Mus musculus: one gene and its partners. The protein of the gene in region 1 purifies or fractionates together with the protein of each later gene. This does not show direct contact. Links are inferred from orthologs where the notes say so. Each region holds a gene or a part of one and is shown in the gene's direction. Other genes may lie near its edges. The genes, in order: Wdr82, Ppp1cb and Setd1b.

What was found.
Region 2: the proteins of Wdr82 (region 1) and Ppp1cb purify together in Homo sapiens (affinity purification with mass spectrometry; 5 studies listed by BioGRID and IntAct, with this or other methods). This does not show direct contact. The link is inferred for Mus musculus from reciprocal best matches to the Homo sapiens genes WDR82 and PPP1CB.
Region 3: the proteins of Wdr82 (region 1) and Setd1b purify together in Homo sapiens (affinity purification with western blotting; 4 studies listed by BioGRID, with this or other methods). This does not show direct contact. The link is inferred for Mus musculus from reciprocal best matches to the Homo sapiens genes WDR82 and SETD1B.

Annotation. Positions count from the first base shown.
Region 1 is NC_000075.6:106,169,643-106,173,744, forward strand, and holds the start of Wdr82 (WD repeat-containing protein 82), read left to right. Parts: upstream 1-1,286; 5' UTR 1,287-1,576; coding exon 1,577-1,737; intron 1,738-4,102. UniProt on the Homo sapiens protein: Regulatory component of the SET1/COMPASS complex implicated in the tethering of this complex to transcriptional start sites of active genes.
Region 2 is NC_000071.6:32,457,378-32,461,771, forward strand, and holds the start of Ppp1cb (serine/threonine-protein phosphatase PP1-beta catalytic subunit), read left to right. Parts: upstream 1-1,592; 5' UTR 1,593-1,978; coding exon 1,979-2,030; intron 2,031-4,394. UniProt on the Homo sapiens protein: Protein phosphatase that associates with over 200 regulatory proteins to form highly specific holoenzymes which dephosphorylate hundreds of biological targets.
Region 3 is NC_000071.6:123,145,139-123,148,762, forward strand, and holds part of Setd1b (histone-lysine N-methyltransferase SETD1B), read left to right. Parts: intron 1-1,411; coding exon 1,412-1,524; intron 1,525-2,408; coding exon 2,409-3,617; intron 3,618-3,624. UniProt on the Homo sapiens protein: Histone methyltransferase that catalyzes methyl group transfer from S-adenosyl-L-methionine to the epsilon-amino group of 'Lys-4' of histone H3 (H3K4) via a non-processive mechanism.

The DNA of each region.
Region 1 (4,102 bases):
CGAGAAATTTATTAGGAGAATGTTGGAAGTTAGAGTAAATGGCTATTTAAAGTCTAAAGCAAGGCCACCTTAGAAGGCTCAGAAGGTAAAAGCATGTGTGCACGCACTCACAGACACACACACACACTAGTTTTTAAAGAGGCCTAAAATAGTTCCAGATCCTTTGCCTACATTTGATGTCTCCACAATTGCGATGTTGTAGTCAGCCAGTCTGCAGGATCTTTATTGTAGATGCTCTTCAGAAAACTTCAGTTCCCACAGCAAGTCGGGCACATGGCACCAGATCTGTCCTTGCTATCTCAAGCTCCATAGCAGCCTGGATCACCTGGATCACCTAAACTCAAAGGCAATCACTGGGGATTGAGTGCAACCACCTGTGGAAGGTTTTTCTAGAACAGATTTGCAATTTGGAAAGTTGCCATCCATTCAGGTTTCACTCAAACTGGTTCCTTCCCTTCCTCACACCCCGGAACAGATTGTAGCCAGGAACTCTGCCCTTTGTCAGGAGACAACTGCAGTACAAACTTACAATCTTGTCGTTTTCCCTCAGCCAACCACTTCCAGTTCTATCTAGCTACCTTTTTTCTTTAACCTAAGAACCTGAGATGCAACCCCCCCGCACATTTTTCAAGAAGGCTCCATTTTTTTCTCGTGTTCCATTTCGTCGTTTGTCAACCCAGGTTATAAGGGACTCTGGTTGTCATGCCTTTGCAATCACCTGCCAGTGAGTGAAATGTCCCTTCCTAAGGTTCCCCCTCCTCCCGCACTAGAAGTTAGGGATCTTCATGCGCTTCGACTCTCATTAAATTTTAAAAGAAGTTCCAAGCTTCTGAAGTTTAATATAAACCCAGTTGAAAATGCCACTTAAAACTTCGTGCAAGTGTATGTTGTACATCACTCAACTAACAAATCGAAGCCTCCTGGCTCGGCCGTGCAGTGGTTAAGTCAGTCGGTGATGGGTTCACCTGATTCACACCCACACACGAGCAGGCCTCTCCGCCAGGTCCTGCGGCCTCAGAGACACCAGCGTCTCCCCGGGGCTTGAGAGCACCCACAAAGGCACTAGCCCCGAGGCGACCTCAAGTCCTGCCCTCGAGAGAGAGGGTTTAGATGCTCCACGCCCGCAGGTTCACACCCCAGAACCGCGGGCTCCAGCTCCGGGGCCTCAGCAACGGGAGGCCGCCCCGCTGACGTCATCGTCCCGCCCCCCCTCCCCCAGCTCGCGCCTCCGTTCCCTCCCCGCCCCCTTTCCCGGCGTCCGCCGCGACACAAGCTCCTCGCCCTCTGATTTTGCTTCTCCCTTCAAGATGGCGGACACAATGAGCCGGCGGAGCGCCGGTTGGCCCTGAATTGACTCCGGAGAAGAACGGTCAGCGAGGTCCCGTCGTCCGGGCGAGAGAGCGTCGCCTGAGGAAGAGGACGCGGCAGCCCCACTGTCAGCCGTCCTTCGGTTCGTCTCCAGCGCGGCGCCCGCACCGCCGGGGTTGGCCCTGAGCAGCCCGCCCGATCGCTCGCCTCTCGGCCCCGCCCCGGCCCTGCGCCGCCGCTGCCTTCAGCAGCAGCAGCCGCCGCCGCCATGAAGCTGACCGACAGCGTGCTCCGGAGCTTCCGCGTCGCCAAGGTGTTCCGCGAGAACTCAGACAAGATCAACTGCTTTGACTTTAGTCCCAATGGCGAGACGGTCATCTCTAGCAGCGATGATGACTCCATCGTGCTCTATGACTGCCAGGAGGGCAAGTGAGTGTGATAGTGGCCGAGTTCCAAGTGCCCCTCTCCTTCCCTCTGTCGCTGGTCCCCGACTGAGCCCCCACCCCCAACCCCAGGCATGTGGTGCAGGCGCTCTTGCCAGGGCCACCTCCATCCCGCAGTGCTGCAGGAGATCCTCTTTAAGATGATGATGGTTCTTAGTTCATGTGTCTTTGCTCTCTTCCGAGCGCGCTTTTCCCGCTTGCCAAACCCCACCTTGACCTTGACCTTTAAACGCCATGTCCCTGCACCCTGCAGCCGGACGGATAGCCCTTTCCACTCCCCTGGCGACTGTCAGAATGTGCGGGTGGACTCTGAGCTCGATGCAGAACGGCAGGAGCTGTGTTCTGTCCATCAGTGGCGTCCAGCTCTCTGCCTTCACAGCAGTGACCTGGATTCAGCCCTGGCACGGTGCCCGCCCCCTACCCCTCAGCTTCCCGCGCGGCTTTTCTGCAATCAAGCCCCGCGGGATGCAGTTTTTAAGCTGTCAGGATTTATCGATTGTGCCCATGTGAGCTTGCTGTCCTTTCCCAGTACCAATACCCAGGCTTACAGTTAACTTACTAAACAGACTCTTGGAAACTTTTCTTTGCCAGACTCCTGAGAACTTGGCCGCCCCATTCTGGTCAGAATGTGAGCTCTCTTTAAAACAAAGAAAGCATTCCGGAACAATTTAGTGTTTCCTTTTGCATTACAAAAAAAACCCAAGTTTGGCCGCTTAGCCAGTAATCTCAGCATTTGGGCGATAGAGGCAGTCAGACCCTGAGTTCTGGACTTCATAGCAGAGAGACCCTGACTCAAAACAGTTAAAAAACAAAAAACAATAACCGCCAGATTGTGGTTTGCTTATAGTTATCAAAGTTTTGGAATTCTGGAACTGGTTATGGAAATTATGTTAGTTGGAGAACTTGTGTATCTTTGCCGTTTTCATAGCCTGGGTGTGAGGAAGACATTGCCTGTCTCATCTCTGGAAGTTCAAATCCTCGATAAGTAAGCAGTGACCTCTTTTGTAGCAGAAACTAGTTTAGGCTAAATTTGATTCCCTTTGTCAACTTCAGCTTCCTTCCTAAGCAGGAGGTGTTTAGTTTAATAGCTACTGTTTTCGACATTATGTTAAAGTTACCTGTTTTTGAATCCTTGGCTTTTTCTCTCCTTTTTGCAGCTGTTCTCTTTGTTTATTATTTTTTTCAAATAATAGTTTTCTTTTGGAACTTGTCTCTGAGTTTATCTAAAGTAAAGCTATTGTAGAATGAGCTGTATATGATATTGTCCTTGATGGGTTTCCTCGCTGGAGCTCCAACAAAGTATTACGTAACTGTCGTTGGACTTGAGCTTGCTGTATGTGGGAGAGTTTCCTACAGTGGTGATCCTGGGGAAGAGAAAATTACTAACTGGACAAATAGTTATTTGAATTGATGTTCATATTTGTGTATTGATTATTATCATACACTGGTCTGACTATTTGATTCTGTTTGGAACTACAAGTAATTTGAAATTGGTTTGTCTGACATGTTTGGTGCAATACATAGCTTAGAATCTCCCCCCCAAATCTGTAATGGAAATGCATATCCTATTCAAAGGAATAAAACACTAAGACTGAAAAAAATGTTTATTCAGGCATGTAACCTTTTTACATGATTACAAACTTACAGAAAGTTACAATGCTCCAAAGAACTTTCTTGAAAAAAGAACGTGTCCAGCAGTGCCTATAATTTCAGCGCTTGGGAGCTGGGGGTGCGAATCCAAGGCAGCTTGAACAGCTGTCCCAAAAAGGAAATGTAAGGGCTGGAGATGGCTACAGGCACTTGCTCTTAGAGAGGAACAAGTGGACTCCTACACCTTGTAACCATCTGTAACTAGTTCCAGGGGATTTGACCCCTAATTCTGATTTCTTGAGAGATGGCTCAGCTGTTAAGAGCACCTCTTCCACAGGTCCTGAGTTCAATTCCCAGCAACCACATGGTGGCTCACAACCATCTATAATGGGATCCAATGCCCTCTTCTGGTGTGTCTGAAGTCAGCTACAAGGGTACTCCTATAAATAACATAAAGAAGTCTTCATAAAGAGAGAAGTTTGTGGGGGGAAAAAAGTCCAGGAGCTAGAGAGATGGCTAACATGTGGTTAAGAGCGCATGTTAATTTTGCAGAGAACCTAGGTTAATCAGCAGCACCCACGTGGAGGCTCACAATTACATTTAACTCCAGTTGCAGGGGATCTGATGTTCTCTTCTGGATTCCATGTGCATCAGACCTGCATAGGGTGCCCATATATACAAGCAAGCAGACAAAATGCTCATATACATAAAATCAGTAAATGTAAAAATATATATGTATAGAAGAATAATCCAATAATTCC
Region 2 (4,394 bases), on another chromosome or scaffold:
TTTTCCTTGGGACTTATAGGGCCCATAAAAACATAAGACATCTACATAAGCATTCCCAAGTATTCTGAATTCTTAAAGTCATGGAAGAGATAGATTTGGAGAAATGGCATCAAAATATCTACCTCCATTTGTAACTGGTGTTTCAGTTTCTTAGTTTCTAGAAAGCAGAGAGTCAACTTTTTAGCCCATCTTTTTCAAGTTAACAGAATCTTCCAGCGTGCATTTTGGAAATAAAGCCCCTGGTTTAATCTGATCTTTCCCATGCTTGGTTTCCTTTTTTTTTTTTCTATTTCCTTCTTTACTTTTAAAAAGTATTTTTATGCATATGAGTGCTTTGTCTGCATGTATGTTTGTGTACTATGTATAGTGCCCATAGAGAGGACCGAGAGGGCATCAGATGCCCTGGAACTGTTAGGTCTCAAACCTGGGACAAATGACAGAGGTACTTATTTAACATGTGAAAGTGGTTACTGGACCCAGGTTCTCTCAGCCATTCCTACCTGTTACAGGGTATGTATGGCATGCACACTCCCTGCCCTAATCTTCTCTTTCCCTCCCCCTCAGAGTCATGCTCGCTCTGAATATTCCCAGATGTCTTTCCTCCCAACTATGTTCTCCCATTTATCTCTAATAAACCTTTTTCTTCATCATACCTAGAAGCAATCATGTCCTTTTCTTTTTATTTTATTTTTATCAGAATCAAAATTACAGATAGATAGTTGTAACCATGTGGGTGCTGGGAATTGAACCCATGTCCTCTGCAAAAAAACAGGCAGTGCTCCTAACCTCTGAATCATCTCTTCAGTCCCTGTATTTGTTTTTAATTTATCCCAACTGCAAGCATTTATTATGTAGCTGAAGATGACCTTGGGCTTCTGGATCTTCTGCCTCCATCTCCCAGTTGTAGGGATTACAGGTCTCTTATGCCCGGTAAATGTGATTTTTATCCTCTAGGAACCGAGTGCAGTAGAGAAATGTTTAAAAATCACAAGATAAGAGAATTAAGCAATATAAGAAATCAATGAACAGAAAAGAACTATAGAAAAGTGGTATCCTGAGTGTATGGAGATGTCGGGAGCGTGTAAAATCTTATTGCTGTTGACTGAGGCCCACTTTGAATCCTGTTTCTTCTAGGGTCACCTGGCGAATCAGCGACTCTGGTGATGTGATACAGAGCCCTTGATCTGCAATGTCAATCTTTTTCAACAGAGAAGTCTCTTATCTCCAGCACACCTGGGTTTCCAACATAGGCAACTGAAACCCACGTTTCCGGGTTAGCGGAAATACGAGCAATTGTTTTGAAAACCAGTGACTGAAACCTAGAAAAGAAAAGCAAGGCGGGAAGAACGCAATAGTTAACTCTGCGGAACCACCAGGCCCTGGGGAGCAGGGAAGGAAGGTCATTCCAGCCTACGCCGGCTCTGCGTTCACAAGCAAGGCAGGCTCCGCCCTGCGCCTGCGTAGTGGCGACTGTTCGTTGCAGTGGAACGCCTGAGAGAGGGAATCGCTCCTGCGCGTTAGCAACCGCGGAGGGGAGGGCGGGGAGCTGGAGAGGCAGGAAGGGGACGTGGCGCGCGTGCGCGCAGTTCGGCGCGGCTAGGCGGCCCGCAAGGGCGGAGGGGAGGGAGTGACGCTGAGGGCGGGGCTGTCCGTGGCGCTGCCGAGCTTTGCGGAGCTGGGCGGTGCCGAGGAGGAGGTGGAGGAGGCGGTGGCGGCTGGGGTCTGACGCGGCCCGGTTCCTGACGCGGCCCGGTTCCTGGGGGCCTGCTTGTTTATTTATTTATTTCCAGTGGGCGCCGCCAGCGTGTGCGCGCGCTGTCGCTGCTCGGCGGGGAGGGGGTGGGGGGAGGGCCCGCGCCCGGGGGGAGTTGGAGCCGGGGTCGAAACGCCGCGTGACTCGTAGGTGAGAACGCCGAGCCGCCGCCGCCGCCGAGAAGCCCTGTTAACGCTTTAGGGAGGAGAGTCTGGTGCCGACAAGATGGCGGACGGGGAGCTGAACGTGGACAGCCTCATCACCCGCCTGCTGGAGGGTGAGTGCGGCGCCGGCTCGTCTCCCCACCCGGCCGCGGGGCCCTTCCCGCTCGAGCTGAGGTCGGAGAGGAGGGCAGGCGGGCGGGCGGGCGGGCGGGCCGGGTGCCCCAGGAGGCCAGGAGCGCGGGCTGGCGGGCGGGCAGGCGGGGAGGCCGGGCCGAGCGAGGCCGGAGGCCCATCGGCTGGTACAGTCTTCCCGAGAGGCGGCCGGGCTCCGCTTGGCCGCTGTGCTGGCCTCTGCAGACCGTTCCGAAGAAGGGGCGAGGATGCCTGCCGCTGGGCTTTGTGTGTCCGTGGAATGTGTATTTCTCGGTTCTCTTTGTGCGTTGCCCTTGGCAGCCTCCGATGGTCGTTCCGGTAGTGAATTTTACATAAAACCTTCCCAGTAAGGCTCTCGGATCGTTTGCATTTTACTGGATGCTCTAGAAAGAATTAGGGAGAGGATACGATGACTAGTTTACCATTTATTATCTGGAGTATAAAAAAACAGTAAAAATCCTGAATCAGGTTAAAGACGTCCGTTAGAAATACGAAACGCCCGGATACATGTGCTGAAGGGGTTGATTTGGGGGCTTTTTTTTTTTTTTAAACATGTTTGAGCCGAGTTTAATTTCTGCACAAACTTAGCAAATGTCTGTTGTGAATAATCTCTTGAGCTTAAAAGGTATTTTACAAGTGTTCTCAGCATTTGAAGTTCCGGGTTCTTATGCTTTTATCGATTAGTTTTGTGTTGGTGGGAACATAAGGAGAAAAGAGGAGATGGAGAGGCCAGTAGTTAAATGTATTGGTCCGTTGGGGGATACTGTTCGAAGTTAAAGGCGGGTCTTGGTCAAAAGAACCCTTTTACGCTATAAAATTTGCGTCGTCACTAATTGTGGAGTGTGTAAAAAAGAATTGCGTTTTTGAGTGGTTAAGAGTCCTTTTTGTCAGCCTCCTAATGAATGCGTGTGTTTACTACAGCGAAGCTGTTTGTGTTTGGAATTTTACCAAAGAGCGTGGAGAGGGGTGACTTTTCTTTAACTAGTTAAAGTACGAAGTATTTATTCTCTGTTTAAAACAACAACAACAACAAAACAACTCTGTTTATATGCTCCAGATGTAAAAGCTTTCCAGCAGCCTTAAGGCTGAGAAAAAGGCAGAACTTTTACCAGGAACTCTTTCTTATTTACCTTCTCCTTTAGTATCAAGTTATTCCTGGGAGGCCCCCTGGTGCTTGCTGTGTTTACTGCTTGGGATTTTGTGGTCTTTAATTGATAGAAACATCTTGCTGGGTCTGTGAGAAATTTGTTTAGTTAAAAAAAATTTATGCTTGTAGTACATGGCTGGCTCTATTAGGGAAATATAGTTATTTTAAATCTTTATATCTTGTTACTCTTCGGAGAAGGGGAATTTAAGCCCACCACTGTTTTCATATAATCTAAATTTTAAATTAAATTTGGATCAGATTTTATCGCAGTTTATTAATATTTTTAATTTTTCATAAATACCTTATAGCAGATGCATGTATTTTAAACCGATCTAGAAGCCTTTAAATCAAATGTACTTCTATACAGTTACAGATGCTTAAATACAACTAATAGAGTGGGAGTTGTAGAGAAAAAGGGGAAAGTAGCCTGAGCTATATCATTGTTAAATATTTGGTTCTATCATCAGTCACCAGCACCCACCAGTCCCCCCTTCTTGGGTAAGAATACGTTCTTTTTTTCTAATATAGCAAGTGTTTATTGACTGCACTGCCAGGCACCAGGAGTCAAAGATAAGGCTCACTCCTCACTCAAGCAGCTCAGTATAAACAAGTGGCTTCTCAGTGTGTGCTAGCCTTCCTGCTCTTCCTGCTTTGAATGTACAATTTATTAGTAGTTTTGTTACATTCTTGTTCCTTAATCCAGACGAAGACTGCTTTTGTTGTTACTCTAAAATATTACCAGTCCCTCCTTCCCTCCCCAAGCCTAAACCTGTTCAAATAAATTTTGAAGTCTTGGATTTTCTAGTGAGTAAATTCAATCTTGAAAAAAAAATTTTTTTTGAGACAGGGTTTCTCTGTACCTGGCTATCCTGGAACTTGCTCTGTAGACCAGGCTGCCTCAAACTCTGCCTCCCCAAATACTGGGAATTAGAGACATGCACCACCTCTGCCGGGCAGCCTACTTTAGTTTTCAGTATTACATGCTAATTTAACTCAAATTCAAGTGGTGCTATTCTGTAAAGTTGCCTCGCAGAACAGAATAACCTGGTTATATATTTTGTGCGTCCTAAATGAAAGTGAACATTAAAAGATACATAATTATAGTTAAAGATGTCTAGGTTATATATTTTGTGTGTCCTAAATGAAAGTGAACATTAAAAGATATGTAATTATAGTT
Region 3 (3,624 bases), on another chromosome or scaffold:
CAGTCTGCGGGCAAGTGCAGGGGGCTTTGGGACCAGGTGGTCCCGTGATCCTAATGTCAAGTCCGGGGGTTGGAGGAGGGGCGTGGCACTGTTGAACCCTGCCTGGGAGGACTCCAGGGGTGAACACCAGGGATTTTTCTTTTTGAGTTTCTGAGCACACACCAAAGGCAAGACAGAAAAACTTAACTTTGTTTTGCTTTTAATGATGGCGACATGCAGTCTCTAAGACCTAAGACCGCGCTGGGTGTTGTCGCAAAGGGTTGTGGTTTGTGGTAATTTTGAGTGGATTTGGCAATTTTGAGTGGATTTGGTTACCCCCCAACCCCCGCTTGCAAAGCCTAGTCATTTCTGTCCAGTCGACAGCTTTCCTTCTCATTTCCCAGTTCCTCGAGCCCTAGTAAATGACCCCCAACCCCACCCCTGTCGCCATGCACTTGTGTGTGTGTGTGTGTGTGTGTGTGTGAACAGACTATTAAATCTACTACCTAGCCTCACATTAAGCTGAAGTTCAATTTCCCCCATGACTGAAGCCTGCAGTCCCCCTCTCCCATCACCTGCCCACATCTTAAGCAGCAGCTAAGCCTCACTACAATTTCATTTCTGGGGGACCTGGAGGGGTGGAGAGGGAAAGAAAAGAAAGGAAAAGACACAATCCTCAGATACTACCACTTATTTTGAGATTTGTAATTGTATTTCAAGAAAGAGTCCAGTAAAGTGTGGCTCACCTCCTTTGCATATGTAAGCAGCTGCCTCTAAGGCTCTAAATACCAATAATCGGGGCCTGGTTGATCAAAATCTCTCTCTGGTGGGTAGAGAGGTAGGCAGAGGGCTCCAGGTAGTCCCCGGGCAGACTCTGGGTACTCCTGGGGCTTAAGCTGGTGGAGAGCAGCCTGCGATTGGCTCACAGTAGTATGTATGTGTTTGACAGGCTTAGATTGTCTTTTGGCCCCAGATAGTTAAGTCACCTCTGTCCCCAGACTTCCTCTGCCCTTGTTACAAGCCGTGACTATTCTGTGGTGAAAGAATGTGGGGGATGGGGTGGTAATAGCTCCTTTTGGGGGGGAACTATAGTCTAAGGAATGGAAAGAACTTTCCATTTAGGATGGCATTTGGGGGTTTTGGGGTTTTTTTTGGGGGGGGTGCAGTGGGGGGAGAAGCTCTGTCCCACAAAGGCATTAACCTTAGAATCTCAGGATCAGAAAGATCAGAGTTTTGCAGCCTGGTTGGACAGATGAGAATCTGGAATGAGGTGAGAAAGGGTAGAGACCTAATCAGGGGACACACAGGATCCCCGGGCCTGTGGTCGCAGGCACAAGGGATCCCTGACCGTGCTAATAAGTGAGTTGGAATCCCCATGGGGATGTGTCCTGGTGGAGCTTCCATGGATACCCTTGTCCCTTGCCTGTTACAGGGGAAACTCGCATGCGCTTCTACGAGCTGTTGGTCACCGGCCGGTACACCCCTCAGACCCTCCCTGTTGGTGAGCTGGATGCTATTTCTCCGATTGTGAGCGAGACCCTGCAGGTAGGTTCTTCCCTGCAGCTGCTCCCTCCGCTTCAGCACCTCTTGGCTTTAGAGACCTGACCACACCTGCTGTTGGTTCCCAGCTGATCTAAAAACCCTGTTTTCCCAAGATCTGCTGCACCAGTTCTCCGCTGGGATTGGCCCAGCATCCCTGAGTCCCTCCTCTGGTTCCACCCACCCTCCACCCATACTGGGATTCCCACAGATGCAGGCTGTTTTTCTATATGAATGTCAAAACATCGCTACGTTTGGGTCTTAGTGTCTGGTATCCGGGCACCCTCTGTACGTATTTCCAGAAAGCAGAGTTCAGATCCTCTTCCAGAACAGACTGGCTCCTCCACCCACGGTATACCAGGACACTCACCTAGCTGATTCCATTCAGCCACAGTATGAACTGAGGTGTCCCCCCCTCCCAGAGGACTGAAGTCTGTTTGCCTGCTGATCAGGAGGCATGGGGGAGGGGCTGTCACACCTTTTAAATATCTAGAATTTGTAAGGACAGTCCATCAAACCCAAGACCACAGTCATTGGTCACATCTCTGTGTCACACCCTTTAATGTCAGATGGCCTGAGGCTTGGGAAGGAAATAGCAGCCTATACCAAAACATCAGGGTCTTCTCTTTGTGCTGCCAGTATTAGGGACAATCCTCTATGTGTGCAGAGGGTAAACATCTATACTTAGGGATAGGGAAAAACAACAACAACAAAAAGAAACAAAAAAACCCCTGCGCACTTCCAGGCACTCCAGTTCTTTCCTTGTGATGGGAGGTCATGGGCTCCACACTCCCTAGCAGCCAAAGTTTTAGCGGGAAGCAGCTCAATTGCCTGGTTCAGCTCGGTCCTCCCTCCACACCCACAACACCCATGATCTCTTCTCTCTCCAGCTATCAGATGCTCTGAAGCGCCTCAAAGATGGCAGCCTGTCTGCAGGCTGCGGCTCTGGCTCCTCGTCAGTCACCCCCAATAGCGGTGGGACCCCCTTCTCCCAAGACACAGCTTACTCCAGCTGCCGCCTGGACACACCCAACTCCTATGGACAAGGCACCCCAATCACGCCTCGCCTGGGCACCCCTTTCTCCCAGGATTCCAGCTACTCCAGCCGTCAGCCCACACCCTCCTATCTCTTCAGCCAGGACCCCACAGCCACATTCAAGGCGAGGCGGCACGAGAGCAAGTTCACAGATGCCTACAACCGCCGCCACGAACATCATTATGTCCACAACTCAGCGGTGGCTGGAGCCACAGCTCCTTTCCGAGGCTCCTCGGACCTCTCTTTTGGGACAGTTGGCAGCAGCGGGACTCCCTTCAAGGCTCAGTCGCAGGATGCCACCACGTTTGCCCATACTCCACCTCCTGCCCAAACAGCCACGGCTTCTGGATTCAAATCAGCTTTCTCTCCATATCAGACTCCAGCACCCCCCTTCCCGCCACCCCCTGAGGAGCCCACCGCCACAGCAGCCTTTGGGAGCCGCGACAGTGGGGAGTTCCGGAGGGCACCTGCGCCCCCGCCCCTGCCACCCGCTGAGCCTCCAGCCAAGGAGAAGCCAGGCACCCCTCCTGGTCCCCCGCCCCCTGACAGCAACAGCATGGAGCTGGGTGGTCGGCCTACCTTTGGCTGGAGTCCTGAGCCCTGTGACAGCCCTGGCACCCCTACTCTGGAGTCCTCTCCAGCCGGGCCAGAGAAGCCCCATGACAGCCTGGACTCCCGCATTGAGATGCTGCTGAAGGAGCAACGCACCAAGCTGCCCTTCCTTCGTGAGCAGGACTCAGACACCGAGATACAGATGGAAGGCAGCCCCATCTCCTCCTCCTCCTCCCAACTCTCCCCGCTCAGCCACTTTGGCACTAACTCGCAGCCCGGCTTCCGCGGTCCCTCGCCACCCTCCTCGCGCCCCTCCAGCACAGGTCTAGAGGACATCAGTCCCACACCACTGCCTGACTCTGATGAAGATGAGGACTTGGGCCTGGGCCTGGGGCCTCGGCCCCCACCTGAGCCAGGCCCCCCAGACCCTATGGGTCTGCTAGGCCAGACAGCCGAGGTGGATTTGGACCTGGCAGGAGACAGGACCCCCACCTCAGAGCGGATGGATGAGGTACCAC